Linked DNA regions of Schizosaccharomyces pombe. The gene in region 1 interacts genetically with each later gene. Each region holds a gene or a part of one and is shown on either strand. Other genes may lie near its edges.

Region 1 (16,191 bases):
GATGAGTTGGCTCTTGTGCATGCAGCTCAACAGCTAGGTTACATTGTTATTGATAGAGACATTGACAGCTTGACAATCCGATTGCATTATCCATTGGACCCACACTCTCACCCGATTGCCAAAACATACCGAATACTGAACATTATCGAATTTACGAGCAAACGGAAATGTATGTCTGTTATCGTACGCATGCCTAACGGAAGGATATGTTTGTTTTGTAAAGGAGCAGATTCAGCGATCATAAAGCGACTTCGTCTTTCCAACCTCGCCAAACGGAAGGACAAATCAGTAACCAAAGCTGAACAGGCTCGTAAAAGCATTGAAATAGACAAGGCGATTATTCGGAATAGCCAGAGCACTTCGAGGCCAAGTTTAACGGCTTCAAGACCTAGTTTGTCTCGGCGCAGAAATGATTATATTAACAACGTCACTTCTTGGCTCGATGAAAGGCGTGAGAAAATGGGTGTAGTTCGTCCCCGTGCTAGCACCAGTATTCTTGAAACCCGGCGTCGACCAGCTGTTGGACGTCATTCATTAGCAGGCGGTGAACGTCTGATGGAAGATAAAAAGTATCTATCAAAACAAGAAGAAGCTGAGGGATCAATATATGAATCCTTAAACCACAATGATGCCAAACTTTTTGAAAACACTTTCGAGCATGTTCATGCATTTGCAACTGATGGTCTACGAACCCTTATGTATGCCCATCGTTTCATTGACGAAAGCGAGTATCAGTCTTGGAAGTTGGTGAATGATGCGGCGTTAAACAGTCTATCCAACAGGCAACAACTTTTAGATGAAGCTGCAGACCTTATTGAAAAAGATTTAGAATTTGCGGGAGCTACGGCAATTGAAGATAAATTGCAAGTTGGTGTTCCAGAATCAATCAATTCACTTTTCCGAGCGGGCATCAAATTCTGGATGCTAACTGGTGATAAAAAGGAAACAGCAATCAATATTGGTCATTCTTGTGGCGTAATAAAAGAATATTCAACTGTTGTTGTCATGGGCTCTCTGGATGGAGTCGAAGGAAGTGATGAAACTGTCAGTGGTGGTCAAAGGCTGTCATTAGATCGACCTCCTACTAATGATCCAGCTTCTTTGATGATTCATCAGCTTATATCTTGCATGAATGCTATTCACAGTAACTCCTTAGCTCATCTGGTTATTGTGATAGATGGCAGTACTCTTGCCGATATAGAGAATGATCCTGAACTGTTTTTATTATTCATAAATACTGCCGTTGAAGCGGACTCTGTTATTTGTTGTCGGTCAAGTCCCATGCAAAAGGCGTTAATGGTTCAAAAAGTGCGTAATACTCTCGAAAAGGCTGTCACTTTAGCTATTGGCGATGGTGCTAATGACATTGCTATGATTCAAGAAGCCCATGTTGGTATTGGAATTGCTGGTCGTGAGGGTCTTCAAGCTGCTAGATCATCGGATTTTTCGATAGGTCGATTTAAATTCCTAATTAAGTTATTATTCTGTCATGGCCGATGGAGCTATGTTAGATTATCAAAGTATATTCTCGGTACCTTCTATAAAGAACAGTTTTTCTTTTTGATGCAAGCTATCATGCAACCTTTTGTTGGCTACACAGGGCAGAGCCTTTACGAAAGCTGGGGACTTACTTGCTTTAATACACTATTTTCTTCGTTATGTGTTATTGGGCTGGGTATTTTTGAAAAAGACTTAAGTGCTAGTACCGTAATCGCTGTCCCGGAGCTTTATCAAAAGGGAATCAACAATGAAGCATTCAATTGGCGAGTGTATTTTGGGTGGTGTTCAATAGCCTTCATTCAAGCTTTCTTAGTTTTCTATGTTACGTATAGTTTATTTGGAATGAAGGAACTTAATGACAACAATATCTTCGCTTATGGTCAACTCATTTTTACTGCTGCTATTTTTATCATGAATTTCAAATTGGTCTTTATAGAGATGCAATACATAAACATCATTTCTATAATAGTACTTGTTTTAACGTCCTTGGCTTGGTTTTTATTTAATATCTTTATAAGCGAGCATTATCCGGACAAGAATTTATATCTTGCTAGATCACAGTTTCTCCATCATTTTGGCAAAAATCCTTCATGGTGGCTTACTATGCTTTTTGTAATGGTTTGTGCTTTAACAATTGATATTGTTGCCCAAATGTTACGAAGGACTTTACGTCCTACGGACACCGACATATTTGTGGAAATGGAAAACGATGCCTTTGTCCGCTCTCGGTTTGAGCAAGAGAGCGGTGAGTTTTTACAAGCCAATGCACCATCTGTCGATGAAATTGAACAATATTTAAAAAGCCGAGATTAGGCATTTAATTCATTAATCCAATTCTAGTATATGAAACTTTCTTTAGACGATAGTCAGTTTACTGGTAAAATGTTAAAATTCTGGGGTTCCCACTGTTCAATTAGAAATTGTCTATTAGTTATGGGTCATGATCCGCATTTCATAATTATTGTTTACTATTTTGGTTGGTTTTCTTGGCGTTAACATCCTGTTGTACTTATTAATACATGTTTTTTACTCACTCTTTTTTATCTTTTCCCTAATAAAATCTATGCATTAATTTGGAATTCTTATGCAACGAATTTAATATTTACAGAAGTGCATGTAAGATTTTATCAGTAGGGACAACATTAAAAAAAAGTAATTGGTAATATTATTAGTTATGCTAAAATAATGTAAAAGAAGGTAAACATGAATTAACGATAAAAAAAATTCGATAACAATAGTTAGATGCTCAAAGGACAATGAACAAAGTAGCTATGGAGTTTCTTGCAGAAGTCTTACAATGCTCCTTTCATCGTTAAATAATTGAATTTTTTGTAAGTGTACCCAAGGAATGCCAGATTGGTTTGTTCCAACGTCTGAGGGTCAACAGAAGCAGGTTGTTGTGTGACAGGTTGTTCAGGAACTTGTTCAAGCTCATCAACAGGGAAATAATGTGTATCGGTAATAGATTTCAAATTCGGAATAAATGGAGCTGCAGTTTCTCGTATATGATCCCAATCGATTCCAGTAAAGAAAGGATGTTGCATTATTTCAATAGCACCGCCACGACCTAATCTGTGTTCTGAATCTGTCATAAGTCGGTCCATCAAATCACGAGCTTCTATGCTTAAATGTATATCATTTGGGAAAGTCAGAGTCTCACGCCAATTGATGATTTTTCGATAAGTTTCATGAGAGTTTTCACTGCAAAAGGGAGGCCATCCAATTAAGCACTCGAACATGATAGCGCCTAAACTCCACCAATCACAATCTTGACCATACCCTTGTTGCAAGAAAATTTCTGGAGCGATATAATCAGGAGTACCCACAGTGCTATAGGCCATCACCCTACGGTTCTTTTTCCAAGTAGCCATTTTGTCCTTGGAAGACATTGTAAGCCAGATAGCATCTACCATTTGACCACGTTTGACAGTATTTCCTGTGCGAGGTTTCATGTAAGAGGCACTCTGATCTTGCTTGTAAAAACCAGTGGAAAGTCCGAAATCAGAAAGTTTTATATGGCCATCCCGGTCAATCAGTATGTTATCCGGTTTTATATCCCGATGAATATAACCCATTCGATGAACATCAGCTATAGCCAAAACGCACTCAGCCATGTAGAAGCGAGTAACGTCTTCTGAAAAAGTATCATAATTTATTAGCATGGTCATCAAATCACCGCCTGGTAAAAACTCCATAATCAAGTAAAGATACAGTGAATCTTGAAAAGCATAATACAATGACACCACCCATGGGGAGTCAGATTCAACTAATAAGTCGCGTTCTGCTTTGACATGAGCCAGCTGGTCACGTTTGAACATTTCAGTTTTAAGCAAAGATTTCATGGCATAGATTTTACCCGTATCGAGTTTCTGAACCAACCGAACCTATTTAATTAGATACCAAAAACATAAACAATTATGCAAACGTACCTCGCCAAATGCACCTTTCCCAATAACTTTGATGGTAGAAAAATCTTCTAAAGAAAGCCGTGTACGACGAAATCGAAGAAATTGAGACTCTTTTTCACCAGATGCTCTTAACTGCCTATTCTTTCTCTCCTCAGAACCCCTTTCGGTTGCTAATCGTTGCTCCAAATTGATACGTCTAAAGAGAATTAGTATTTATACCTAAAAGTAAATTAAACGGAAGCTAGCATTATTAATTAACATTTTCGAAACAAGATGAGTAAGCTGTCTAAGATTTTATAAACATTCGAGATTATGCATTTACTGCAACACGCGAAGTTGAGAACGGAGAAAGAATTAATAAAAGCATCGTCTTTGATACTTATCCGATCAACGTATAAGATGGGAATACTAATTGAGGAATGTGAAACAATGCTAGAACCCTGAATAGTAATGCTACTCGTACCTTTGGTTGCGCTCTACAGCATGATCAACTGCCACCTTGTAATAATGTTCAATATATTTCTTTGTCTTTTGGACTTTGTCTAAAGTTGATTTCGGAAATAATGAAGGGTTCCGTTCAAAGTGTAAGTAATCATTCTTATCCATATTGAAAGAAATGTTGCAATAAATGGAATTTTTACACTAATTAGAATCAACTACAAGGTCAACGAATTAATTAACAAAAAGAAATTGTTAAAAGATTGAAATTCAATCGCTTAAAACATGAATTAACAAGACATGCAAAACAGAAATGAGACAGTGATAAATCGGATATGGTAAATGACAAGTCCTATTATGCTTTTTTAATTATAGGACTACTGCCAGCTAAGGTATAATCCGATAAAAATATGTTAAACTGCGATACTGGAAAAGCAAGTACTTCTGCAGTTTGTTATATAACTTCAACGATCGCTTGCGATAAGCTCCGCGCATTTCCTAACCCTCCCTGTTCAATATTACGACGCTACTAACTGAAGCCAAGAATCTTAGCTTACGAAGATTTTAGAATCTGAATTGAAATGAATAGTCAAAAAAGACGGACGGAGACATCAATTCGTTCTTCACCATAAAAATATTTGTGTAATAAAAACTAAAGGTGGTGGATCGAACTCTACAGGAATAGTTATCTATTTAATTTGGTGTTTACTCTTCATTTAATAACTTCACATTATTGAAACTCCCATTTAAATATTATAGACAAACAAGTAAACAAAAAAAGCCTAACCGATTTGTATCCAAAATGCAGCTAGCCAAAACGTTGACAATTTCACATAATTTTCAAATCTTTTTTGTGTTTATTTTTTCGAAACCTGAGAAATATTGTCTATATTAATAGGGGTATGTTTAAATGCGCGTTTGCCAGGTCCAACTCCATAACTACTTGCAACTTGACCATTTCCTCTAAGTTGGTACTTGTAAATAGTTAACCCATCAAGACCCATTGGTCCTCGAGCATGAATTTTGTTGGTGCTGATGCCAACTTCGGTACCGTAACCATAACGAAAACCATCGGCAAATCTGGTTGAAGCATTCCAATACACACCAGAAGCATCAATTCCAGCCATGAATCTGTTAGCAGCTGCTTCACTAGAAGTGATAATGCAATCCGTGTGTTTAGAACCATGTGTATTTATATGCTGCATTGCGGACTGTAAGGAAGGTACAGTCTTAATAGCAAGAATCAAATCAGAGAATTCAGTGTTGTAATCTTGATCGACAGATGGTTCAACTAGAGCACTAACTTTTGGCATATCCTTTAAAACCTTAAGAGAAGCGGGATCACATTTTAATGTAACTTTTGCTTCAGTTAAAGTTTCAGCAATTTTAGGAAGATGAGAAGATAAAACAGCTTCGTTAATTAACAAAGTTTCAATTGCATTACATGCTGCTGGATAATCAGTTTTTCCATCCAGAACAAGTTTACTAGCCAATTCCATATCAGCATCCTCATGGACGTACATGGAGCATAGTCCTGCAGCATGACCTAAAACAGGAATTTTTGTGTTATCTTTTATATGGCGTACAAGATTAGTGCTGCCGCGGGGAATAACCAAATCTATGTACTCATCCAATTTTAATAATTGTGATACCTCCTCGCGACTCTGAACAAGCTGCACAGCAGCCTGTGGAACCTTACTTTTGCCCAAGGCAGAGCGAACAACATTAGAAAGTGCAGCGAAAGACTTTGCTGATTCCGTGCCTCCTTTAAGTACAACAGCATTACCAGATTTGATAGCCAGGGAAGTAATATTAATGATTACTTCAGGTCTAGCTTCAAAAATGACTAGCAATAAACCTACAGGGCAAGAGACTTTATAAAGGTCCAAACCATCGTCAAGACTACGAGCATAAGTAACACGACCAAGGGGATCAGGCAAACTTTTAACATCTAAAACACCCTGTACCATGGAATCGTATTTATCAGATGAAGACAGATCCAATCTTTTAACCATCGATGAACTTAGTTTTCCTGATTCAGCCAAGAGCTTAGCTGCTTTCATATCTTCAGCATTTGCAGCTAGAACCTCTGACTTTTTTATGCGCAGTTCTTCAACTATTTTATCCAATGCATCATCACGGTCTTCCACTGATAATGTCTGTAAAATGTTAAAAGCGTTTTTCGCTTCCTTTACATTCTCTTCAAGAGACATGCTAAACAATACTTATACAACTTTGAGTAGAGGCAATTGGGAGATTTAAATCAAGCGAATTCTTATTCTTAGAATGGCTAGCTCAAAAAGACTACTTTTTGTAGTATTTTGGTTGTTTTTTCTAATGTATGAATAATGCAAGTTCGTGATTTATTTAACACCCTTCAAGTAACAAAATCAAGCATTGTTACTTTACATTAAGCATAACTAAGATTTCTGAAAGATACGAAATCATGGAAAGTGAGAGTACTTCTGCAGTTAACTAAAAATATTTTGCAACCTCAAGAACAGTTAGTGTTATATTTTCAGTTTTTGTTTTTCCGTTACTATATATAGTAGCCTTACTTTTCACTTTTCACGTAGTGCAAGAATTATGCTTGTAAACAAAAGACTAAAAAATGAGCAACTGGGTATCTTCGGTTAAGAAATACAAAGATACTAATTTTAAAGTGTGCTTTGTATATTCCATAGAGAATTTGGATTATTACACACTTCGTATTTCTCATGAATAAATTATAGTCATATCGTAAAAGCAAAAACATTTATTAGCATGGTGTCCAGTTATTACTGAATCAATTTGATCTAGTTGTTTTTAATTCAAATTAAAGATGCTTCTAGTTGAAATGCACAGCTCAACAAACAAAATTGTTTGTTCATCTTTTCGGGAAAACATCCTTCAATATAGAGTATCGCTAACGGTTGTAATTGAATTGTTTACAATGGCTGATCAAACTGTTCATTAATATAGTACTTTTTTTTTAATTTGAACGCAATTACTTTGAATTTAATTCCATATTTGCAAAGTTCATCTTGCCTTACAGTTTCACAATTGTCCCCCAAGTCGACAATTTATAGAATCAGAAAGAAATACTTTGCTTCAAAAAAAATCGATAAATTATTAATCTGGGTGTATAGTATTTCATTTGTTTACTTTCAATAACAACATATTTAAGGCTCTGTAGCTATGCTTGATTGTACAGCAGTGAATCACATCAAGGTTTTTCCATACACTAACAGAAAATTCTTGACTACCTCTCCAAAGTCAAGTTGTACAAATCATGAGCATAAATCGCACACATTCTACTCATCAATCCCATTGCCAAGAGTTAAAGTATTTTGAGGATATGCGTTATTAAGTGTATCGTGTAAGCTACGCAGTTTGGTATCTGATTTAAGGATACGAAGAACTGCGGTGAGTTTTCCTTGTGGTCTATTATATTACAATACACAGGTTGTATAAGTAGCAACTGAGTATAGGTATTGTATTAACTGGGCTATAATGTTACCTATCACTAATATAGCTCATAACTGAACTGAGGAACGAGGTTCAGTTGTAACGCTATTTATAATATTTCTAAATAGTTGTTATCAACGGGTATCTATGTATATAGACGGATAGTTACCCGTGATTATCAATAAACGGATCTTAGCTAGTATTCCAACATATGACATATAGTGATACGCAACGTAGTGTATCATAGCGTAGTGTAGTATTGCTGACATATCGTAATGTACCCAATTACGGTAGAATGATTAAGAGAATTGTATTTAGGAATATACCGCCTTTAGTATTATGCGAAACGCTATTTTTTGTAATGAGCCATTTCTTTCGCGCACTAGCAAAATAGTCTCATATTGCTACTTCACGAATAGCAAAAATAAGTCATATAAAATAAGTAGCTCAAGGTAATTACTGTTTTCGGCATAATACTTTATACATCTTGGCAAATTTCTTATATAAACAGCGTCCCCCTCAGAGAACTTTTTCTGTTTTCTACCAAAATAATATGTAGGTAGATCGATGGATAGAAGCGATTAACGTATTTGCAAAACAGATCATCAGGATTTTTTTTAACTCCAAAATAACCATAGTGTCACTCGCTTCCTAGTACAAAGCATTACTATGGTTATGTTATTTTATTTTTTAAAAGCTCAATGATATTATCAGCAGTTGTACTTGCGATTCTTTCTCAAAAATGCATACTGAGAGGTTTGTTCATTATGGGAAAATTATGAGTTCACGAATATTTCTTTCTAGAGCGAATTTTATTATCCTCCTCACGTCGATTGAAGCTTCATAACAATTTGACTGTTACAAGCGATTGCTCCTAACAACTTCCGTGAACGAACGGGCTTTGCAAGTCTACCGACCGGCCTTAGGCTCTTCACACCTAGACTCAAAACGCTAATCTATATACATGTAGGACTTTTATTCTGCGAACTCTAGTGGGATTTACTGAACCAAATGGGGGTTTGATATTTTAGCTAGTCTATGCATTTGAATCTCTATGCAATGTTTGTCTACTCAAGTTTCCCTTTCTTTGAAGATCTTTACCCCCATTAGCGACCTTACTTCAACGTGGTCATTCTTACCTTACGCTAAATGTTTTAACGTCTACGAAAACGAGAACGACGATTGCTATTACCGCAACTTTAGATATCGTTATTTATTCTTCGAGTGGCGCGTTATCATCTTTAGCGGAATTTCAATTCCGCGAAGGAGCACGTAATATGATTACGAATACTGGTGGAGTAAGCCAACGCCAAGCTGAGGTGATGCTCGGCGTAGCTTATTGGCCTATTTTGGAGGCTCGAAGGCACGGACTAGACAATGCTTTGTAAAGCAAATTTGTTAAATCGATAAGTATAAAGACAATTTCTTCGTTTTTAGAATATAAAAAAACATTGGTCATATCGAAAAATTGATTTGAGTTGATATCGTTAAAATTTCATGTATATTCCGCGTGGAGCTATTTACTATATAAGCGATGACACGCCGCCCTATCCTCTTCCAATTCCAAACAAAATTTTCGAAATCTCCAACTTTGAAGTGTGGTTAAAATCTTATTGATTTTCCTTCAAAACACTTAATTACTCAAAACACCCCTTCTCTTGTTGTATTTTTTTAAAGTAAATTATCGTCATACAAAATGGTTAGAGCTGTAGCAGTTCTTCGTGGTGACTCTAAGGTCAGTGGTGTCGTTACTTTTGAACAAGTCGATCAAAACTCTCAAGTTTCTGTGATTGTGGATCTCGTTGGCAATGACGCTAATGCCAAGCGTGGTTTCCATATTCACCAATTCGGTGATAATACCAACGGTTGTACCTCTGCTGGTCCTCACTTTAACCCAGAGGGTAAGACTCACGGTGACCGTACCGCCGCTGTTCGTCACGTTGGTGATCTTGGTAACTTGGAAAGCGATGCTCAGGGCAACATCAAGACTACTTTCTCTGATTCTGTTATCTCATTGTTTGGTGCCAACAGCATCATTGGCCGTACCATTGTCATTCATGCCGGTGAGGATGATCTTGGTAAGGGTACTAGTGAAGAGTCTTTGAAGACTGGTAACGCTGGTGCACGTAACGCTTGTGGTGTCATTGGTATTGCCGTCTAAATTTATTGAGTTTTTACGTCTTTTTGTTCAAATGGCTGTGGGTTTAGGTGTTGGTTAGTATTGTTATCATTTAGTTGAGTGATCTCAAATTTCTTTTTTTTTATGAAAAGTTCCGTATATTATGCTTCTATAGGTTCTGTATTAAAAAACTTAATTTAATTGATGATGATAAGTACTGTAGCTTTGTGGAAGCTGTTTGTTACTATTATGTTATATGTGTAAAAAAATGTAGTGATGTATTTTTGTCCTTAAGACTCTGCGTTCGAGTTTACATAAAATTCAGTTAATTAGAAGGAATTGTTGTAACTTTGTTTCGGTATTGATAATGAAGAAGCAAAAGCAGCAACAATTTTTGATCTTTTAGTCAGAAAACTTTGTTTTGCATCGTTGAGTTCGTGCATAAAGATGATAGAAAGTGCTTTTCGTATTGTTTAAAAAAAGATATATAGAATGTTGATTAATAGATACACACATAGTAGCAATATCAACACATCTTGTTAAAATTCTAATGGGTGAAGCCTTTTTTTTTATTAATCATAATACCATCGTTTCATCTTTGTTGATTTTGTTATTACTTTTACGTATCAATGAATTTTTACGAACTAATTTCAACTAAACAATAACGACAGGCAAGTTTGTGTAAACTGAAAACATCTGCACAAGTTGTATTTTAAAATAAATTTTATTCTATAAGTCTAAAGGTTCACATCCAGTGTGAACAATTAATAAAATAAGTGGTTAAATAATAACCAACTAATTCAAAAAGATGCAAAAAAGAAAAACTCAGCAAGAATAATTTTAATAAATTGATCTCTAAGCCGGCCTAGACGATATCCAAAAAGGGTTTCAAGTTGAGAGTAGTTCACGTTCCAGACGTGTATTATGAACAAAATGTAGTTTTTTAAATAGTTTGAAAACATACAAGCAATAAGTATAGTACATCTGAAGAAATCCAAAAAAGCACCTCGCAATACAATTCCGGACTTTGGTCATGCTTAAGCAGCAACAAGTGCACCATTGGAGCAACCGTATATAGAGGAGTCATAGCACGCATTACCACAAGCTAACAATGGAGACCCATTTATAATGGGACACAGTATATTGCCATAACAAATATAACTTTGTGAATCATACCAAGCTGATCCACATTGGGCTATCACATTAGTGGATGTAGCAGATGTAGTAGTAGGTGTAGGTGTAGTAGTTGTGGTAGGTGTAGGTGTGAAAGTTGTAGTAGCTTTTGTTGTTGTAACAGTGTTTGGAGACAAAGAACCATCAGAACAAACATATTGGGAAGGATTATAGCATGCACCATTACAACTCAAGTAATCCACTCCGTCTATTATAGGACATAACTGATCATTGTCACAATAATAAGAGGATGCGTCGTAGTAGTTAGAGCCACATAGTTGCATGCCAGTTGACTGTGCGGTAGTAGTTGTTGAAGTTGTAGTAGGTGTGGGTGTTATTGAGGAAGTAGTTGTGGGAGTAGGCGTAATGGAGGAAGTGGTCGATGAAGATTGAACAGGGCCCAAAGCTCCATTGTCGCAGCCATATTGCGAAGGGTTATAGCAAGCTCCGTTGCAGTTTTGATATGATACACCATTAACAATAGGGCAGAGTACAGTTCCGTCGCATACATACAAACTTGCATCAAACGTAGCACCATTACAAGTACCAGAGATGCTTGTAGTAGTAGGAGTCGAAGTATAGGATATAGGTAGTGTACAACTGGCAGTTGCAGTAGTAGAGGTTGTCGTAACACTTCCGGTACTCGTAGAGGTCGTGGTGGTAGAAGAAGAGCTAACAGGATAATAAACGGCATCATTAGCCCATAAGCCAGCGGCATAAGCCAAATACCAGGCACGAGAGGCCCCGTCATCTAAGTAATCGGTATTAAAATCAGAACTGGAGAAATATTCATAACTTTCTTCAGGTTCAGCAATAGCTAGATTAGCATATAAAAGACTTCTCCAACCGCTATCTACATAGTCAATGACACTAGCAAGTAAGGCATTCCATTCAGCTAGTACAAAGCTAGGACCACGGATAAAAGCTGAAATTGGAGTGATAGGCAACATATGAATTCCTTGGATGTACTCAATATTAGTACCAAAATAGGTAGTGTGAGTAATTTTGTTCATGAATGTAATACCGGCAACATAATTAGGTTGCATAGAAGTGGGCTGGACGTTTCCATCAGCATACAGCATGTACTTATTCAAAGCATTTCTTTCAATGCCCAAAATAATGTTTGCGCGATCCTCCATATCAGAATCGCCAATTACTTGACCCCAAAGTTTCATACCGAAAAAGAAGTTATAATCTTCGGACGTTGATTCTTCATCCTTGCCATCATTAGACTCAAACAAACCAGATGCCCAACCATGACCATGATAAATATCAATCATTCGGTGCTTTGGAAAGTAAGGATCATTTGATGATGGATTGGCAACATCACGAACTAGAAAGTTAACCCATTCCTTATTGTTCCCAGTGTTAATCCAGTCAGGATCAATATGACCAATTACAGCAGCAGTGAAAACAAAATAACCATAATGGAAATGGTGATCATTATAGTAGCTGTTACCAAAATCAGCCAAGGAATCACCAGATAGACCAGCTACACTGACAACTCCTTTCCAAGTGTTATCATAAGTCAGAGGGTAAATTTGCTGATTGTCAACAAAACGGGCAAAAGCAGCCTCTAGTTTTTGAATACATTGTTCGCTGCTGGTCTCATCACCAAGAATATCATTAATTGTAACACACAGCATTGCATACTTAGCCAAAACTTTGCCAGAATAGTACATTGAATTCAAATTAGAGTTGGCAGAGAAGTCTTCGCCCAATTCAGTACCAGCAACCTCAGCGATGATCTCTAATGCTTCTTCCGAATAACCAATCTGACCACCTGTCGGCGACCATGGAAGAAAACCAATGTCCTGAGGAATAGCTTCGGCGAATGTTATAGAGTTTCCAGCTGCGGCATTCATATCACCACTTACTAGAGAAGCCAAAACAATGGATGTAACTTTGGTACCACTGACAGCTGTATCCACTTGATGAGGCAATAAGAAAAATAGAGGCTCTACTGAAGTATCCCCAGCAGTCGTAAAATCAAACGAGTAATAACCAACAGCATCCTCAACATATCCGGAAATACTAATACCGGTAATATAGACACCCGCATAAGTGTCATAAAGAGCTTCAGCGGTGCCATCTCCAAGAGGAATTTTCGCGATTTGAATGTAACCATTGAAAGTGTTGCTTCCAACAAGCATTTGAGATGTGGATTCAGTCAACGTAAGGCTATCCCCATAAATGTAAATAAGCCAAACGTGGTTATCAGACATCGTGACACGATACTTTTGAACAGCAGAAGTACCCGGCACTTCGACAAAGTCATTGATATAAAGAGTGGATGAAAAAATTTGAGGAATAGCATTAGTGTAGACAGCAGTAGTAACGGCCATACCCTCAGTCAAAGTAAGTTGCATAGACGAAGAGTCCCAAGAGAAAGTAAAGCGAGCAGACATCTGATCAATCTCGTCGACAATTGGGTCAGTATTAGAGGTAATACCAGAAGCACCAAATCCGAGCGAACAAATACCGATGGGTTCATAATAATAGGAAGGGATTGTATCGTCCGTATCCATTACACGTTGATTGTCATCGGTATGAGCAATACAAATGCCACCCATCGTGTCTGAAGACTGCCACCAATATCTGAAGGGATCAGCATACATGAAATTAGTACGAGAACCAAGTAAATTATTATCAAAAAATTTGTTAGTTTCAATAGGGGAGCTCAAGCTGTCAGTACTGACGCCGGCAGGAGTAACTGGGTGCGAAACGGTGCCGAAATAACTGGCTGGGTTGATAGTATCAACAACAGAGTCGAAAACATTGGTATCACGTTTTTTTAAGCTAATATTAGAGCCTGTGGAAAATTTGGTATCCTTGGTATCCTTAAGGATTGGCGAGCATTGTGCCAAACTTATGGTCAAAAGACCAAATATAAAAGAACGTAAATAGGAACTCATAGTTCCTAACAATAAAGTAAGTGAAAAGATAGCAAACCAAAAATGACTAAAAGGAAAGACAGAGAAAATAAAAGATTTAAACTAAAATTGCTAAAGTAACAAAAAAAAATGAAACAAAGAATGAGGAAATCAAAAAGGTAATACAATAATTAAGAAGAAGCTGCTTAAGGATTTATTAGACTCCAATATCCAATGTTATTATGATAGTTAAGTGGATATGGATTAGTAAATTCTTAAGTTTTCCAGATTAGGTATCACTTGGGTTTCAAGATTTCCCGATTGTTTACAATCAATAAGGAGGTTGTGTCTTACTTAGGTTATAGTAATTAGAAAAGCGAACCTTGATACTTTATATTATTCCAAATTTGGAAACTTGGACAGCCATCATGTCCTTTTTCTTAGCATGTCCAGCCATATTTACCATAAAGAGGACAAATGTGGGTGGTCGGCGGAAATCTGGATGTCTTAACAGCCAGCCCTTTTTAAGAAAAACTGTTTATACATAAGCAAATGTAAACAACACAACTTGAAACATTACTTTGGCGTTATTTGATTGTATGATACTCTTCAAAATGACGTTAAGTAGCTAGGTAGTTAAATATTTTGGCGTCCGGTGGCTTTCGAAAAGTAGAAACGCGTGGGATAAAACAATTGGTATCTAGATAGTACTTGAAATAATATTCAGGAGTAGTAAGTATCAGTAGATTTTCCAAATACAAGCATTTCGCCAAGAGCTACTTATTAAAAACGCGCTCGCGAAAATTTAATTTCTTGACAGTGGAACATGGGAGTAAATATATTTATGTAATTTGAATTGAAAAATGCTTGGTGATTCGTGAGGGTTCAGGATACCTATTAAATAACCAAATAGTAAAAAATCACTTTTCAATAGATTGCTAAATACAGAAATTTTACAAAAATAGGTACAGGCAACATATTGTTTGGAAAGTGTCCAGTTGTTTAGTAAGGTAGCGTGTAGCAAAGCAACAACACAAAACACTCGCTTTGCTAAAGATGGGTGGTTGGAATACGGGATAGATTGTTGAAATGCGTTACAAATTTTAGCAGATTTAAACTGGGGGGTTGATGAGAAATGAAAACAAACATGCAGTAGAATTTAAATATATTTAGTATAAAAGTAGAAAATACATTGTTTATCAAGAGTTTGTTGTTATATTTACCTCAACTGTACGCGCAGCATTACCATAAGCTGTAAATATTGTTCACTCTTGTTTATTTACACGTGGTAGCCATAGTAACCAAGGGTTAGGGTATTCAGAGCATTTATATACTAAACGCTGTGGTCCTGAATTTATTGTAAACAAATCATCTAAACACTTTGAATTTCAACGTTACAAAGTTTTAGTATCTTCGGATCCTTTTTCTTTGATATATTAGGCTGGTCCTATATTGTTTGTCTTAAGGAAAAGACTGGTATCTCTTCCTTATACAGTTAATAGATTATTTCTTTGAGCAGGTTCTCCTTCACATATTATTTCATTGCATTGCATTGCTTGCTATATTAGCACTCGACTCATTCTTTTATCCAATTATTCAAAAATATTAATTAATGCGCTGTGGTGCCGGTCATCATAAAGTCATTCATTTGCTTAAAATCGATTAATTCTTGAAGACGTTCGTTTCTCCTTCTACGATTTGTTTACGAAACCTAATAGTCCTTTATTTGTTAGCGCACTTTCTTTTCTCTAAAAAAAAAAACAGCAACAACAAAGCTTAAAAAATTAATAAAGGCTTTCAAAAAAGTTGAATTCTTTTTGCTACTAACGTTACATTATTATATAGCTTACCTATTGAATTTTTAAAAAGTCTTTTCTTTCTTCGCTTTTCTTTTTCTCTTTCATCTTTTCTACAACAAAAAGAAATTGAAATCCACTTTATTTCTAATTCATTAGAAGTTTTATTCAAAGTTTTGGATACGTTTCTGTCCTTTGATATTCGCTTCTTGCATTATTTTTCTTTTACATATATATTTTGAGCGAGTTAATCAAAATGGAGATAGCAGGTAATTCTTCAACCATATCGCCTACATTTTCAACACCCACAAAGAAAAGGAACTTAGTCTTCCCTAACAGCCCTATAACTCCCCTGCATCAGCAGGCACTTTTAGGCCGTAACGGTCGTTCTTCCAAGCGTTGCTCCCCTAAATCTTCTTTTATCAGAAACTCACCAA
Region 2 (17,352 bases), on another chromosome or scaffold:
AGTCAGTTTTGAATGCAGGATTGGTAAACAAGGGTCGCAAGTTAATATATTTATATAGCTGTCTGCTGTAACAGTTTAACATACAACCTTGAAACTGTAAAACATTGAATATTTTTCATTGTTAAAGCCAATTTAAATGAGAACGATTATTGTGTTACGAGGTAAGCATTTAATTCCAAAATCCCTATGTATTCTTGTAGTATAAAGTAATTTGAATGACAAATCAGTAGATTCTTCCATAATTGCAAGTAGGATGCCAGTCCCAAACCTTTAATTCCTAGCTCAAAAGCACAATTGTTCAGTTCACACTTTTGTTAACTTCCGGAATTTGTTATTGTAAAATAATTGTCTCCTCATAATTTTAAAAAATTACATCTCATTGCTGACTGAGAACTCTCATCATACTGGTCAATTTTAAATTGTGCTGAAAGCCTTATAATCACAAATATTCATGTTTAATCGAATTTTTTTGGTTTTCTTCACTATGGTGCATCAATAATATTTTTAGTACAGTACAATCACACCCACCTTTGAATTCTAAACTTTGACCTTCAAATGCAAATAAAAAATTTATAGTTAGATCGTTCCATCATAGTATAAATTACAGAATGATATTGCTTTTTTAAAATAAATGTTACCATCTACGTGTTTTTCAAGGTATTCACGCGCGAACGACATTTAAAATGATTTCGCTCCGCTTGTTTATGTTCAATTAAAACATTGATTAATAACCCCTTAGTCCTACGATAATTGTGTTAAACTGAATATGATGGTGGATGACAAGTGTAGCTCGACCATTACTCCCCACTCCAACCAAAAAATTTTGTTAAAAAAAAACACCTTTACAGTGTTTAATTGTTGGAATTTTGTTCTTGTGGTTTTCTTAACAAGTATTTTAAGTAACCGGCTAAAATATTAATCATGAAACGGTATATGTTTGGTACATTACCTCGCGTGCAACCGAAACGTTGTTTCCAGACAGCTATTGGCAAAGAATCACCGTATGTATTCAATCCTTTCCTCTAATTTAAGCTATAATTTTGTACATTCTAACCCCAATTTATTAGCAAAGGGAACAGCGAAAAGGATCAACTTTTTGAGAATCCATTTTTTCAACAGCTTCCTTCCAACGTTGCAGCTGTATATTTGAACCCTGTTAAATTCAATCCTTCTGAAAACGACGTACTTTGTGCTTCTCTAAAAATTAAAAGCTTTGAAACTCCAAAACTTGATACGTTTACCGACTTCATTTGTCGAACAGCGTATTACATGAAAATTCCAATCAAGGGTCCACGTCCATTACCCAACAAAGTAGAAAGCTGGACTTTACTCCGATCACCTTTTATTCACAAATCTTCTCAGGAGAATTTTGAACGTATTACGCACTCTCGACTTATACAACTGTACAGTGTCAATCCAGTTACTTTAGAAACGTTTTTTAGTTATTTACGAAAATGCAACATGTGGGATTTAAAATTGCAAGCAAAAGCTTATGAATACGAATCCATCGATGATGCCCTTAAAAACTTCGAGTCACAGTCTAAGTCTACTGATAATTTCAAAGAATTGTTAAACGGTCCTTCGAAAAAAGATATAATCACACAAAATGCCGAAAAATTGCTCAGAAACGACCCCATTTACAAAGATTTGTTAAAAAATTCATCTCGAAAATAAAAATTAACTAATGTGTTTTCAATTACTCTGATGTTGGACCGTTTATTAGCAAAAATACTCTGACTGTATTCGTACTTTTTTTTTTAACAATATGACACTAGCTTTTCTTCATTAAAAGTGTTCTTTAACTAAAAACGTTACGAATAGTCCACACTTGTTTCGTTAGTTTTCCTCACCAGTAATTTTTGAAGTTTCTTGGGGATTGCTTTTCGAAAGAACAAAACCCGCAAGTGCCTTAGGTCCTTCAGATTTTTCCATTTCAAGCTGTTCCATTGGATCCATTGGTGCTGCTGCACTTTCAATTTTAGCTGCTCTCTTCGCTATATGAAGGGAATCAGTGCTAAACTTAGTTTGTACAGACCGTTTAATACGAAGCATTTCTTTAACTGTTTCTTCTGGATTTCCGTACCTTATTTCAAATTCTTGCCATGCTTTCCAATAATCCGTTTCAACTCTTGGATCACAGTATTGACTTCCATGAATATATATTAAACGAGCACGATCGATTTCACCAAGTTTCGTCTCCATTTCAGCAAACCTTAAGCACATATCTTTGACTTCTGAGTCACTCAGGGATTCAATAGCCTTCTCATAAACTGTCCTTGTCGCCAGTACACCATAATTTAATGCCACTTTAACGAGTAACACATTGTAAATAGCAAGACGGTCTGCTGTTTTAACCTTGTCGGCCGCTTTTTCTAAAATAGAAATGGATCTTTTTGCTTTGCCAAACTTTTCTTCGAAATCGGCATACAGAAGATAAATACTTTTCGAAAATTCGGGCGGACATCCTTCTAATGCTTGTTCAAATAAATCCCTGGTCCTTTCCATATGCGTTCCTTGATATCGTTTAACAAATTTTGTTAAATATAAATTCCAAAGTTCAAAAGCCACGGGATAACTAAATAACGCAACACCTCTCTCATAAATTTTAAATGAATCTTCAAAATAAGCATTCTCCTCTAAGAGATTTGCATAATTGACAACCACCTGGGGAGTAGCAATTTTTAGTTCAAAGACGCGGTCGTACAATTTGCGTGTAGTTTCAATCGTACCAACGCTTTCCTCAAGATCAAGATAATACATCCATATCTTAGATGACTTGTGTAGCCGTACTTGTGGACTGAGTGATTCATCAAAAAAGCTGATATGACTTTTTCTAGGAGCATGAACGGCATCTCCTATTAATTTTCTCGCAGCGTCAAAATTTTGATGTCGAAGTTCCATCTCGGCCCAGTCAATCCAAACTTGTGCTAACTCATTGACTGTTTTATATGGTACATGAGTAGCCTTTTCAAAAATTATCCTTGATTGTTCTAAATCATCAAAATTTTCATAAAAACGAGCAAACTCTGAAAACAATTTGCCGAGGGAGCCATGCGCCAGCTTTGGATTTACATTTTTTATAGCGTCTGTGTAAACTTGAACAACTTTTTCGCTGTCGTCTTCTAAAAACTTGACTCGGCGAAGCCATTCGTCAACGTTATTTATATTTTGCCTTAATAATACATCATTGATATAAAGCGGACGTTTGTCAAGTATTTTCTCGAGCCAGGCCATATGAAAATCGATACTTAATTCGTCATTTGCATTTCCGCTGCTTGCTTCAACTCGTGCAGATAGCCATTGCTCTTCGAATTCAACAAAAGCATCGAATATAATTGTAAAATTTCTTACAGTCATTATGTTATTCATCCCTTCATAGAATGTGCTTCTTGCCTGTACGATAAGTTAGTTTTTGCAATAAGGGGTCAATAAACAAACCAGTTAAACATACCTTCTCGTAGTCACCAATGCGTATATAATATTGTGCCAAATAAGTCCATAGTTTCCCTGCTTGATCAGAAAACCTTTTAATGCCAGCTCTAAAAACCTTTTCTACGTCTATGTTTTGCGTATGGTCAGGATGCTGAACAACTAACTCGGAAAACTCGAGCCATATCTGATAATTGCTCTTCCTTTTTGCTGATAAAAACACGGGCCGATTTAAAATATCCTCATATTGTCGAGCAGCTTCATTCCACAGCCCTAATTTACAAAGTATCTCAATGTAGTTTTCAATTGCTCTTGGTTCTACTTGTATATATCTGCGGTAGACATGGATGCAAAATAATCCTCCAATATCTTCAGCATATTTCGTAAACATGTCCCAAATATCATCGTGCTGAGTTACCGGTAAGGCGCGAAGTGCAGAGTTAAATGTACAACGAATCTTAGTGACATTTGGTTGTTTCATCAAAAATTGTAAATATAGTTTCCAAATAACAGGCATTTTATGCAATAAAATCAAAGAGCGCTCAAAACAATCGTTTACAGAAGCAAAAGCTTCGGCATGAAAATATGGGTTCAAATGTTCAACATGCGCTACACGTAGTTCCAAATAGCTTTTCCATATTTTATAGCTTCCCGGGAGTTCTGAACAAGCTCTTTCAAATAAAAGCACACGCTTTTCCAAAGTAGATCCTTCATGGGTCTTTATATATCGTAACCAACTTTTCAGAGAATATGGATCACGTAGCAATTCAAGCTCAAACGGCTCGTCATCAACATTAATTAGATCAAAATTAACTTTCAGTGGAATAACATCTCCCATTTCTAATCCTTTTGATTGTTTTCTAAAGAAGCCCGATGTAGGCTGTTGTCGTGCATACAATAGACCTTGGGCAAGTGAAAAATATGAAGTTCAATTTTAACCCCATAAGATGAAACTTAATTGAGAAAGCACATTGCTTATAAGATATAAAACAAATAAATTACAGAATTAAAAGACTGTCTATATGCCCACCTCTAGGGAATTAAGCCAAAGTATGTTGATAAATCAGAGCTACAAAATACAGCCCTTCGATTTCTATTTCATTTGTTGTAAATCACTATCCATAACGACCTTCTGCTATTTAACTACCCTTATCAGTAAACCTCTTCTGTACTTCGAATTTATTCATTGATTGCTATATTCAAATTATATTTATACGAAACGCAAAATCGCTTCACCTGGTAGATATAAAGCTAATAGTGGTGCTAATGTGACTTTTGGTCATAAAAATTAACGAGTATTCAAACTAGTTATCACTAATTAGGAGCGGCAAAAACACTAATTGTACATATAATCAGCTTACAAAAATCACATCGAAATGCCTAAATCCTTGACTAATTGTTTGCAATATATACTATAAACAAAGAAACAATCAATACTAAGACAAACTCCAAATTAATACACGAACATATATATTTGATTTATCTATTTCAAAACACAAGCAAATGCAGTAAGCCTATTAACACAATCAGATAATAGAGAGTTTCTTGGTATCAGGTTGTCTTCAAGCTTTTCTCAGAAGCAGAACTGAAAATTAAGTATCATCATACATGTAAATGGCTTTAGTAAATGCTTCGGTAAAAAACAGCTAAAATCAATTAATCTAAATTAGTTAATATAAAAACATTAATAATTACGAAATTAATGGCTGAGACGTGCTATGTTCATTCGGTGATGCATGTTTTCTGAGGATCATTGATTATCACCAACAGAAAGGGGTAAAGTATAATCATCTTAGCAATCTTAACACAGACTCAATAAACATACCTAAGAAGTTAGTAATTAATAGTAATCGAATTAGGCTTTCAAAATTATTGAGTTAGTTCAGCAACGAAGAATTCCTAAAATACAAAAGTGTCCGCATCGAATGCCCTACTAGGAACAGAAATGATCATCATCAACTCAAAACATATTTAAAAAAAAAAAAATTTGCACATACCATTCAAAAAGATATCTAACTAGCAATATCGTAGCAAGTTAAGCAAAATATCCCTTTTCACTTAACTTGTGCGATATCACCAGCACAACGAAACTAAATGTTTTGTTGGTGCTTTAATAGCACATTGTGACTGTTTTTATTAACAAAAAACTGTCAGACCTCGGTATAAAAGATAGTGTGTTTAAAGTTTTAAAGCTTATAATTTATAATACATATCCAAATATTTTGGCCGTTAGATAGTTCTTAACTCATGATAGAAAATGCGGAGGCAGCATCACAATATTTAGAGAAAATTATTGAATGTTTACAATCAGTTTAATTTCGATTACATTTCCAATTAGATTTTTGTATCTTGTAAAAAATTATATATCTTAATATAATAAAGAGAGAAAGAATCGATGCATTTTCGATTTGTGACGTTTAGTTTTAGATATATTTCGCTGCGTAACCTTGAATATCTCACTTAGGTGAGTATAAGATACTGTATCAAACTAAAAAATTTTGGTAGCAGTAACAGAATTGCTGTATGCACTTAGTTGTCAGGCTTTCTAATCGCCCTATACTTTTTGATAGTCTAGGCTTCAATGAGCATATATGGAAAAATGATAGTCCCTTTAAATCCATAAAGAATGAGAAAAATTGAAGAGGATAAAACTAAACAGTAGTCGTTTGTGAGGGATTTTTTAGGTTTTCTTTCTTCATTTCGGCTTCGTTGTTGATATTTAAGTCATTTGATAATTCTGGATAGTATATGAAAAGGTTATTCCATGTAGTATTCCAAGTTTTTATCAGATGATCAGGAATTTCTGGATCGACCTCAATAGTGGGTCCTGCGAGTGCTCCAGCACCGTGTAAAATCATAAAAACATTCTTGATAGATTCCATTACCTCAGCCATAGACTCTGAACCATGGATTGAACTTAATTTTATGGCCACGTCCATTAACTTTAGCCATAATGTATGCAGCATCTCCTTTTGGGCTGACAACACATTCATATCAATCAGCACAGTTTTGCAAATTATATTAAACATTTGGGCTTGCGCTAGACCGAATATTTTATGCTCTGGTTTCTCGGTTAAAACAGTGATCATGTTTTCCATAGTTGGAAGAAGCACCAGGTGGAAGAGAGCCATAGTATAACTAACTTCGTGAGGCTGATCTAACTGTTCCACGACTATTCGCTGCAAACATGACAAAGATGCTGCTCTTAAAGAACGACTTCGCGAGAGGCAAAGCTTACAAACATGATCGTAAATAATTTTCCATCTTGTATCTTGAAAATGTTCAGAACTTTCATTGGAGTCAACCTTGTACTCAACTGCTGCTTTTAAAAATAAATTAAATGCATCGTTCAATTCTGCACTATGGTTATCAAGTATAGACTTATCAAACGGAAGCCCTTTTGAAGCTCCCTTTTTTTGCTTTGACAAAATCTGCGCGATTTGTTTCACAATAGTCTGAATTAGCGTATCAACGCAACCTAAATATACTTGAAACATTGGAAGATCAAGTAAATTAGTAGGGATTTTGCTAAGCAGCCTATATAAATCATCAATATCTGCTGTATTTGTATTAACAGCGGATTGGACAAGCTGGAGTCCTATCCAACTTTCAAGTAGAAAGGGGTACTTGTTTACCAACTGATGAAAAAGTGATAAGCTCTGATTTCTGACAACAATATTTTTATCGTTCAAAAGATTGCACAGCTTACTGAATAAACCCCAGTCTTCTGAGTTCTCGCTTAACTTCAAGTCGTCATCCATGAACATCTCGAAGATATATAGAGAGAGTTGGTTGATAACTTTCTCATCCCCAGATTGTTCAATTTGAAATAGAAGATATGACAAAATTTGGGTTCTTCTTTCCAATTTGTTGAGTGATTCTCTAGTTCCCAAAAATAACGATGTCAGCAGATCAGCTACTATTGCAGACTGGATGTTACTGAGTGCTTCTACAGACGAAACTTTGTTATCATCCACTGTGTTTTCATCAGTCAGAAGGCTAGTCGACGGATTTGATAGACTAAGAAGAGAGTCCAGAAGTTTGTTTAATCCGGGTTGCTTGAGATCGACCAATTTAGTTAAGAAATTGTCAATTTTAGCAGAAGAGATGCAATCAATAGTACATAAAGTATGTTGAATTTCTTCATCTGTTGGACAAGGAGGTTCATCATTTGCATAACTTGATAAATATGAAGATAATGCTGACAATAAACCTCCTTCTTTGCTTAACGCGGGTTTCCCAGAATTCAACGGAGGTTCAGGAAATGGAAACCATTGATACCCAAACAGCTTGAAACCAGGTAAAAACGAATTATCAATTAGGTTATTTCGGGCTAGACAAATGGTGAGCTGAACCAACAAGGGCCAGCTTGCGTCTATGATATTACCAAACTTACTACTTATCCAAAAGAGAACCAGAAGAGCCAATTGAGCACGAAAATCCCTTCCAAAACGTACACTTAATTCACTAACTGTAATAATACGGTCTTCCACTTTAATAGCAGTATTTAATTGAGTACCTGGCACAGAAGAAGGATCGAGCGCAGTAAATTGACAAAAGCGCTCAATAGCATAATCAACCGGTTCGTTCAATTCATATGCTGCAGCCACTTCCGTAGCTTGCTGAATTCCATTGACAACCCTATAGAATACAGTATCTTCTGTCGCAGTAGAAAACACGTATATTAAAGCGGCCATTATCGATTTCCAAACTTCAAGAAAAACAATTTTATCATGCACGTTAGAACTCGAACGCTTGAATGGCTCAGTTATTTTCACGCTCTGCTGTAACTTTGACCAAATATATAAAAATGAAAGCTCAGTGTCATGCTCTTCGGCAACAATTATTTCATTTTCTTTTATTGCTTTGTAAATTTCAGACAAAAAATTTCGATCAAAATCCTGCCCATCATTTACACCGCGTACGTTACGGCAAAAATCATCTAAAGTCATTCGACGTTGAGATTTGATGTTTGGGTTATGCTGGTCGGTATTTAGCATAATTATTGAGTAGGAAAGGACAAACGCGGCATCTTTTGAGGACATGGAATCAGGATTCGCACTCATGTAATAATGAGAAAATGTTTCTAAAACTCTTTCTATCAATTGAGATTCTCCAGGTAAACGAAACGACTGAAGTAAAAGTCGTAACGCTTCATCAATTCTCTTTCCTTTAAAATCGAATGCACTTATAAAAGCATTTAAAATATGAGAATTGGAACCTTTGGTCAGAAACTCTCCTAAAACTCGCTTGCTAAGACGATTAGTAGAATGGAAGAATTCAACAATACAAGTAGGATTGTCGGATTGCTTGATGATAGAATGCTGAGTTAAAAAGGCAATACCATCTGAAGGGGATTCATTAAATAACTCGGCACCTTCAATAATAATTGCTTTTCTCTTTTTTGATTCGATTAATGTCTTAGCGACATCATCTTTGAAAGTATTATTGGGGTCATTATAACAAGGTTGTAAATGCTCATGAAAATAGTAAATGAAATTTAAAAGAGCGTCGAGGCAAAGTGGTGGTACATTAGCAGTTGAATAGCGAGCAGAGTCAACAAGGCAATTTCTTGTCAAAACTTTCAGCAGATCAATGGCAAGGTCTGACATTTGAGGGTCACAATCATAATTGACATACAAGTCTATCAAAAAATAAGGGATGCGGGATAAAGATCCGAGACATTCAACGATAAGCTCACGAACTTCAGGAGGTCTATTTCTCGTGTCGAAAGCAAATCTTTTTCTCTCAGTAAACGAAGTTGGTGTGGCACGATCTGGACTAATCTCCTCACTCAGGTCTAACGAAGAAACTACCTTGTGCAAAGATGTTTCAACATTACGTTCACGAGGTGTGGTTGAAGGTATATGGAGACAAGATATTAAATAAGAGATAAATAACTCTTGCTGCAATTTAAGAGAGCCGGGCATTGCTTGAAGTAAAGTAGTCATTACAAGCAAGGAATTTGTCAGCAAAGCTGTATGATCACTACGAATGAGCTGTAGAAGTGATTTGCATAAAGTATCAGTGATGAGTACTCGAAGCGAAGGAAAATCGCTAATATGTGAACCAGAGACCTCTAAGGCTGTGTTTATAAATCTCAATGCCATGGCTTTAATATTATCAGAAAACTTTTGCTTGCCAAAGTCAATAAAGGAAACTAGTACACGAAAAACTTCGCGAATAGAACCAATACCGAAGGGATCGATTTCATTTGAAATCTCATCGCCTTCGGTGATTTTTTTGTAATGGAACTCCTCTCCTTTGATAGAGTGTTCTTCGGATGCGTCCCAAAAATCTTCACTATCCGTTTTCACATCAATGTACTTCAAGCGTTCAAATATCTTTTCAAGGATAGATGTCATCGATAATTCAGCACTATAGCGTAAAACTTGGGAAAGCCTAGACTGGCAACACATACTGAGCCCTGTTTCAACAATTTCGCAAATAGAATCATCACTCAAAACAGCTTTTCCAGGACCTCTTAACAATTCTTCCATTAGCCTAGAAACTCGCAACAATACAGCCTCATCCTGTGAAGCATCGAAGCTCTCAAAACGGCATTGAGTAATAGCAAACGATAGATTACGCATTGACAGTGCTAAATTGGGTGATTCTTCAGAAATGATTCGAAAAGAAAAGAATTTGAGTATAGCTGATAAACATAAGCTAGTTATATAACCTGTCATTCGTGGGGACTTGATTGTCCTCAAAAACGGAGAGAGAAGCTTTAAACTATCGTATCCATTTAAGCTAGCACGGTTCGTCAAATCTTCTTTTAACTGTGAAAACTCCATAACCAATGGATATCGGATACTACTGCTTTTTTCGCCATTTGTTTTCCATCGGCTTTCTAAACCATCAGCCAGAAATTCGTCTTTAAGTGTTGAGACTCCTAAAATGGATGCAACACCAGAATTCCTCCATCTCGTGGTTTTTCTAATTGCCGTCACGACAGTTATAATTTCATTGATCACCAAGGAGGACGGTGAAATCGAACATAACGGCTCTTGGTTAGGAGATGCGCGAGGCACTTCCATAGCCCTTCTGTAGCTACTAATCAAGAGTCTTTATAAAAAGTAACTTGAGGTGTTTACTATTGTAAATAGCGTAGAGGTTTAGTCCTGAACAGTCTCACCCTTCCTTTGGTGTTGAACGGATTTCAGCAGATATGCTTCAACATATTAACATTGCTTAACGTATCACTATACTAATTTACCTGGGTTATATGTTTGAAATAAACATAGATTAATCTGATAAATGTCTAGATCAGGAAAATGAGTATATATTTTTCGGTAGGATCCAATAGTATTATCAAATTTAGTGAATAAAAGTACAAAAAAAGAGTGTAAAGATTAAAATAACAAATCAGGGTTTCTACGGTATGCAGTGAGGAAAAAAAAAATACACCAATTTCGTGAATTAAAGTAGTGCTTCAACAATTAATGTCAGGTCTGTTTCAAAAATACGCCTCACTGATAAAACTTATAAGAGATCGTTACGAATCTTTTATAACCTTAGTTCGGAACATCGCCATTGCTCAGTAGAGCATCAATGTCACAGTTAGGGTGTATTGAAAATACGCGTTCTTCAAAAGGAAGCCTCACGGCGCTGTCAGTTAAATTTTGAATTTCCATGATGATCGATTCGTGAACAAGCCTGGTTAATACCTTACGCACAAGACCAACCTCATAGATGATGTCTTCCTCGGTATGGAATTGGTCTTCCCTAAGCTCGAGATATGACTGAACTAGGTCTCCCGCTGGTACTCCATCTACACCTTCAGTAGAGCGCTGGCGTAAAACCTGTAATATTCCGTTCATAATCGAAACATATTTGTCGTAAGTAATTTTTACTTTTGGTTTCTGCAAAGCTTCTTCCGAAGAAACATTATCATTGCCATTTGTTGTATTAGTATTATCATTCTCAAGTTCTTGGGCCTCTGCATCATCTTCTTCAACCTCAATATCATCTCTTTCCACATGGATAATTGATTGACGTAATAAAGAGTATGCTTCGTTGACAAATGCAGGAGTAATATCATCTACACAGTTTGCTCTTGCAATGGCTTCTGATAGACGAATCATTGACTCCAGTTGTCGCACGGTAATACGATATGAATTTTTACCAGCACCTTGCGCGTCATCCATCCGCAATTGCTTGTACTTTTTAACAATTTCGGCACAAGATTCTGTATTTAACTTTGGTTTGAAAGTCCTTGCATATCTGATATATCGTTGAAGTTGCTCAGTACTAAATTCAGGTTGCATGGCATCATCCCGTAAACGATGAATGTCAACAATATGCTTAGCTAAATGTCTATCAACTGATTCATTGCACTCATCTAGTACAACGAAGAATAAATCAAACCGTGACATGATAGGAGCAGACATATTGATGTTATTCCGCAAAGTTGTTTTTCGGTTATAGCGGCCACCTATTGGATTTGCAGCAGCAAGGATAGATGTCCGTGCGTTTAATGTAGCTTGAATTCCAGCTTTTGCTATAGATATCGTTTGTTGTTCCATTGCTTCATGAATAGCAACTTGGTCTGACAGATCCATTTTATCGAATTCATCTATAGCACATATTCCATTGTCAGCCAACATTAAAGCGCCTGCTTCTATAGTAAAATCCCCAGTTTCTTCGTCCTTAACAACTGCAGCTGTGAGACCGGCCGCAGATGATGCCTTTCCAGAAGTGTAGATTGCACGAGGAAGAAAATTGCAAACGTATTTAAGAAATTGTGATTTCGAAGTACTGGGGTCGCCGACAATACAAATGTTCAGGTCGCCACGAAGATTTATACCTTCAGGAGTTAACTTGTGAACACCACCCATTAACTGTAAAAGAATCCCCTTCTTAATTATTTCATGACCATAAACAGAGGGAGCCAGTGAGTTTGTCAAACGAGAATAAATATGATCTGAATGCACCATCGCACGTAAATCATCAATTTCTTCTTGAGAAAGCGATTGCAAAAATTCATCTTGCTCTTCGATCCCTTGAGAACCATCCCCTCTGACATCCGCACCGCTTTTATCATTTGCATCATCTGGTTGAACCATGCAAGCTAAAAAAGATAGTTTATATGTAAGATCACGTACACCTAAAGACTTCAGTCCTGTCACACCATCTGCATCTCTACCACCAAAATTGCGAGAATCTCGATAAGCTTCTGGCTTTACACCAGGAATTCCTAGCTGTGAGACATCTGGAACGGCAATAAGAATTCCCGTAAATGCGCATTTGTCACCAGCCTTAGCCCTTTCAACAATATCTCCGCGCAAAATTACGTCCAAAGTTCGTGGCATAGAACCCGTAGGAATCTCGTTGCTATTTTCTTGAATGCGCACCTTTTGCCAGTCCTGAAAAGAAGACTGTGAAATATTGAGCCGCCAACTTCTTTTATTAGCACAAAGTTCATTAGGGCATTGAGTTGGTTCAGTATAGCGAAATGCTTGCTCAACATTTGAAACTACAGTGTGGCATTCCTCACAGATAAAAGTACCTTGTGCTAATTCAGGGCGTACTTCAGAAGTACGAGTAACTGTACCTGTAATAGTCGTGAGTCTACCGATACGATCTGTTCGTAAGTCCCGAATTGTGGATCGAAAGGGTAAATTGTAAAATGCAAGAGCAAATGTTTTGTCACTGGCTTTAAAGTTCGGTGAAAGTGAAGCATTTTCACGAGAAAGAGAACTTCTATAATATTCTGGTTCAAACTTTTCAATCAACTTTTGTAAAGCTCGAAGTAAGAAAGGAGAAAATCGATAATATTGCTCAACTATCGCAAGAGCTAACACATCATTGTACGAGGTTAAATGCTTATAATCAACGTAAACGGTATGAATCTCATACATTGCCAATCCATGAATCTGTTGAACATAATATTTCTCTTGTGATGCAGAAGGGAGAGCATCACCTCCAGCAACGCGGTCATCAGAAAATGACAATAAAAACTCTTCAAAGGCTTCACGTACTGATTCTCCGGTTGTATCAATTACCTTTGGTATGGCTTCTCCTATAGCAGCAAAAGGTTTCCTTTTCACCATTCCATCATCCTCGAGCATAGCACTCGACTCAGGTTGTGAAGGCATACTTACAGTTGGCCTGTCCCCAACTTCTGAAGTTTGAAACCCATAACGATATGCAGGAGTTGAAGCATTATTACCCTGAGATGCAAGAGAAGACATCTTCAAGTGTAGTGCTCCCTATTATCAAAAAACTGCAACTACAGGTTTTTGGTCAAAGGATAGCAATGTTTATTTTGAAACGTTTATTTCTGTGGTTGCTTTGGTGCGCTAGAAATCGCAATTTAGAATTGCAAATTACAGTATTATACCTTATTCGTTTCAATTAACAATATGTGTTAAAAAAACCCAGTCTGAACATTATACCACATATTCCAATATATACTATGGTAAGAAAAAAATTCTTGAATTATCTCTATTCTATGCTTCTTTCATTTATTAACGATTGTAGGCAGACAGGTTGCGCTCTCAAGCAAAACTAGAACAGTTACAAGCGCGTTATGTTGGTGTCGGTAATGCGTTTACCACCAAATAGTAAGTACTAATCGGTTTATTTGACAAATGAATTTTCGCTCACCATATAAACTAGTGAATGGATGGTAAATCAGCACCGGGATACTTTGTCTTCTGTAGTGGGGCATCCACCGTTGCTCGCATATATGGCAACGGCGCTCGGCGAACCGAGAGTCCAAGTTCGCAAAAACCTATTAGAAAAAATGATCATGCCATGTGGACCACCTCCCCCTTCTAATCAATTTTAAAGTGTTGTGTTTACCTGTTGCCCAAAATTAATGTCGTTAAACCTTCGCTCGTCTGAGACTTTGTTTGTTTAAGATAAACAGTACCTACTAGGTTATTACAAAATAATATATATATATATATATATATATATATATTAATTGAATTATATGCAATGCTACATTGATTATTGTTCATTGTAACAACGCAAGACATTCCCTAGTCGTTACCTTCAAAGTAACACGAATAAGTTTTAGCTATTTATCTCATTTACTACGAAAGCCTCCTTTGGAGTAGTTTACTTAAATTGGCTATATGTTGAATATTTTCATGCAAACTCTGTAACAATAAATACATTATATGTTGCATGAGATTATTTTGTTGCTCGCAGGGAATACTTCTGGCCTGTTTATTGAGAAAAATGGTCAAATACTACTGCATCCATCTGTTCAACCATTACACCCTGGTGAACGAGAATTAATTAATGACATAGTATCTTTGGCAAGTAAAAGGAAAAGGATAGAACGATATATTGAAATTTTTGATGAAGATTTGATTCAGCAAAACCAGTTTCTTCTTAAAGCTCTTAGACTTCTGCTTTCGAAAAAATTATTTCTTTATGATGAAAGTCTAGCTAATTTAGAGCGGATGATTATATCCAGCGATCCTTATTTTGTAGGTTCCGGAAAATTCGTATCCTTGGCGCAATTAGAAGCGCATTTAGCAGATTGGAAAGAAACTTTATCTAGTCTGCTAGTACTTCAAGGTAATATTTCTCAATGCTTGAGTGTAGCTTCTACGTTTCAAAAGCTGCATAATATGTATATGGGCTCTACTCATTTGAATTTTAAAAAGCTGGTTTTAGAGTGTGAATGTGCTTTTCAGAAGACTTGGCTTGACGAATTAGTGCAGTATTTGGTAAATGATTCCGGCGATGACAGCTTCAAATGTTCGTTTTTATGCGGTGATACTAAAGATTTTGTATCTTGTAGCAATAATGTCCCTTTTTTGACCCAAGACATCGTTAATTGCTTAGTTTCAATACGAACGTGTATGCTCAATGCAAAAAAATGTTTCACAGACGCTTTCTGTGAAATTCTTAGATGTTTCTACAGACTGGTATATGAAATGCCTTTGCCTTTAACGAAATCTTCAGTGACAAAATTAGCAGATGAAATGTTCACTCTGGTATCAGAAAAAATAATATTTCAATTAGCTTCGTTTCATCAGATTTTCGATTTGGTAAAAATGCTAGAGATGGTGATGTTACTTGAAAATGTTGAGTTTCTTCCAACATTATCTGAAATGTTCAGAGACGTTCGTGGTGAATATTGCAGTTCAAATGACGTTCAAGGGGTAGTAATTGATGATATTTTACCCGTTGTTTTAAGGAAAACTATTTCTTTACTTGATCTCGCTACTGAATATGGAGAATGTGTATCTTTTCTAAAACTTGTAAGTATCTTTGATGAAGAAGATGAAATGATTCGCTCTGAGAATCGTAAAATCGATGTAGAGGGACTCAATATGCAACTGTTATTGTGTTTAAAATGGCCGTTCAATTTGTTTATGGATAAAAATGCTTTAAATGTGTATTCCGATTTATGGATACTACTAGGTTCTTTACACTTAAGTATAACTAAAATCAAATCCCTTTTTTACGAAAGAAAGGAGTATACTGCCAAAGGTATTTCTCAACCATGGACTCAATTGTGGGTGACTTTATGGTTCTTATCATCTTTACAATATTATGCCTACGAATGTGTTATAAAGCCGTCATATTGTAAATTACGGGAATCTCTTACTGAGTTATATAGAACACAAAAGTTACGTATGCAAGACTGTTCTCAATTGCATGCTTTAACGTTGACTTACGCTAAGAAAATGTTGTTTTTTTACGATGATGATTTACACATTTCTTTAAACTCGATTTACCATGAGCTTTCTTTATTTCGTAGTCAAGAAGTTTCGAAAGTTGACTGTCAGTTAGCTGCTCACGTATCTCATTCGATTGAATGCATACGACAGAAAGAAAATGATCCATCGTATGATAGGGAAATAATTAACGCGCTGATTGTTCAGCTTAATTTATAGGTAGATATGATCAATGTATTTATTTAATATTTTTTTTCTATTTTATTTAAATATTAGTTCTCATTAACTATGCATCATGGAGTTATAGTCGTAAATTATGCTGCAGTAACTTGAAGCTTCAAGAAAATAAACCTATTAAATATCGTTGTCACGACTACTGATTGAAAGCAAATTCAAACGGGTTTTGCAAGCGACAGCATGCAAAAAGAATCATTCAATGCATCAATAGAAAAAAAAGTGTAACAGATTTAGCTATCCATCGGTTTATTGAATGCCACAATCAGTATCCATAAAGAGAATTCAAAAAAGAATCAATGTATATCAAACAAAGCAACGTAACGAAATTTAAAAATCAGAGTCCATTGGACCAGCAATTTCATCGCCAGATTCAGTGTCAATAGAAGACATGGTGTCATCATCTGAAGAGTCGTTCAAAGTTATATCAGCGTCTTCTTTATTAGCATACCGAGCGATATAATCTCGAACCTTGGCATAGTAGGTATTCGGCTCTCGCAATAATAGAGCTGCTGCCTCTCCATTTAGAGGGTCCGACGCATTAGGATAACGGAGTAGCTGTGGAAGAAAAACCTCAAAAATATTAATCATATCAAACATTGGAGACCAAGTTTGATTTATCACGTCCAAGCAAACACTTCCACTAAGCTCATCGATATTGGGATGAAATATACGATTTACAAATCCAATACTTGGAGATTTCCAAGGATACTCACTTGGCAGTTCAACATGAACTTTCCATATTCCACCTGAGTAAGGGGTTTCAGACGGTCCATGGAACCTAACGTAAAATTCTTGCATATTATCATTGACAAGAGTTACCTCGTAATCACTCATCAGCAGCTTCATAACGTCCGTCTCAATTCTGCGCCTTGGGCTCGACATTTTGATTTTTTATAGTTTTATTTCAAAACTAAAAAAGAACTCAATAATTTTAAGCTAGTGTAGTATTCAAATACGGTAATTTGCTGCAATAAAGGCAAATTCGCAAATTCAGCAGTTTTCGAGTAATTTTCAATAAAATCAAATTATTTTGGACTTT

Evidence for each region.
Region 2: of eng1 (region 1) and gea1, extra expression of one rescues a mutant of the other (dosage rescue), as found in Schizosaccharomyces pombe (one study listed by BioGRID).

What each region holds. Positions count from the first base shown.
Region 1 is NC_003424.3:996,762-1,012,952, reverse strand, and holds eng1 (cell septum surface endo-1,3-beta-glucanase Eng1), read right to left. Parts: upstream 14,322-16,191; 5' UTR 14,001-14,321; coding exon 10,950-14,000; 3' UTR 10,592-10,949; downstream 1-10,591. Other genes in the region: dnf1 (P-type ATPase), read left to right, coding at 1-2,313; serine/threonine protein kinase Orb6, read right to left, coding at 2,793-3,884, 3,930-4,104, 4,372-4,514; gamma-glutamyl phosphate reductase Pro1, read right to left, coding at 5,204-6,559; superoxide dismutase Sod1, read left to right, coding at 9,490-9,954; ubiquitin ligase Slp1, read left to right, coding at 16,011-16,191. UniProt on the Schizosaccharomyces pombe protein: Cleaves internal linkages in 1,3-beta-glucan. Has a role in cell separation where it is required for the degradation of the primary septum after completion of cytokinesis.
Region 2 is NC_003423.3:3,869,372-3,886,723, forward strand, and holds gea1 (guanyl-nucleotide exchange factor), read right to left. Parts: upstream 10,550-17,352; 5' UTR 10,470-10,549; coding exon 6,081-10,469; 3' UTR 5,754-6,080; downstream 1-5,753. Other genes in the region: rsm10 (mitochondrial 37S ribosomal protein uS10m), read left to right, coding at 922-1,001, 1,068-1,674; protein Cwf3, read right to left, coding at 1,837-3,393, 3,452-4,267; MCM complex subunit Mcm6, read right to left, coding at 10,947-13,625; sap10 (splicing factor 3B), read left to right, coding at 13,850-13,852, 13,915-13,997, 14,053-14,224; gamma tubulin complex GCP4 subunit Gfh1, read left to right, coding at 14,562-16,295; ubiquitin conjugating enzyme Ubc8, read right to left, coding at 16,641-17,195.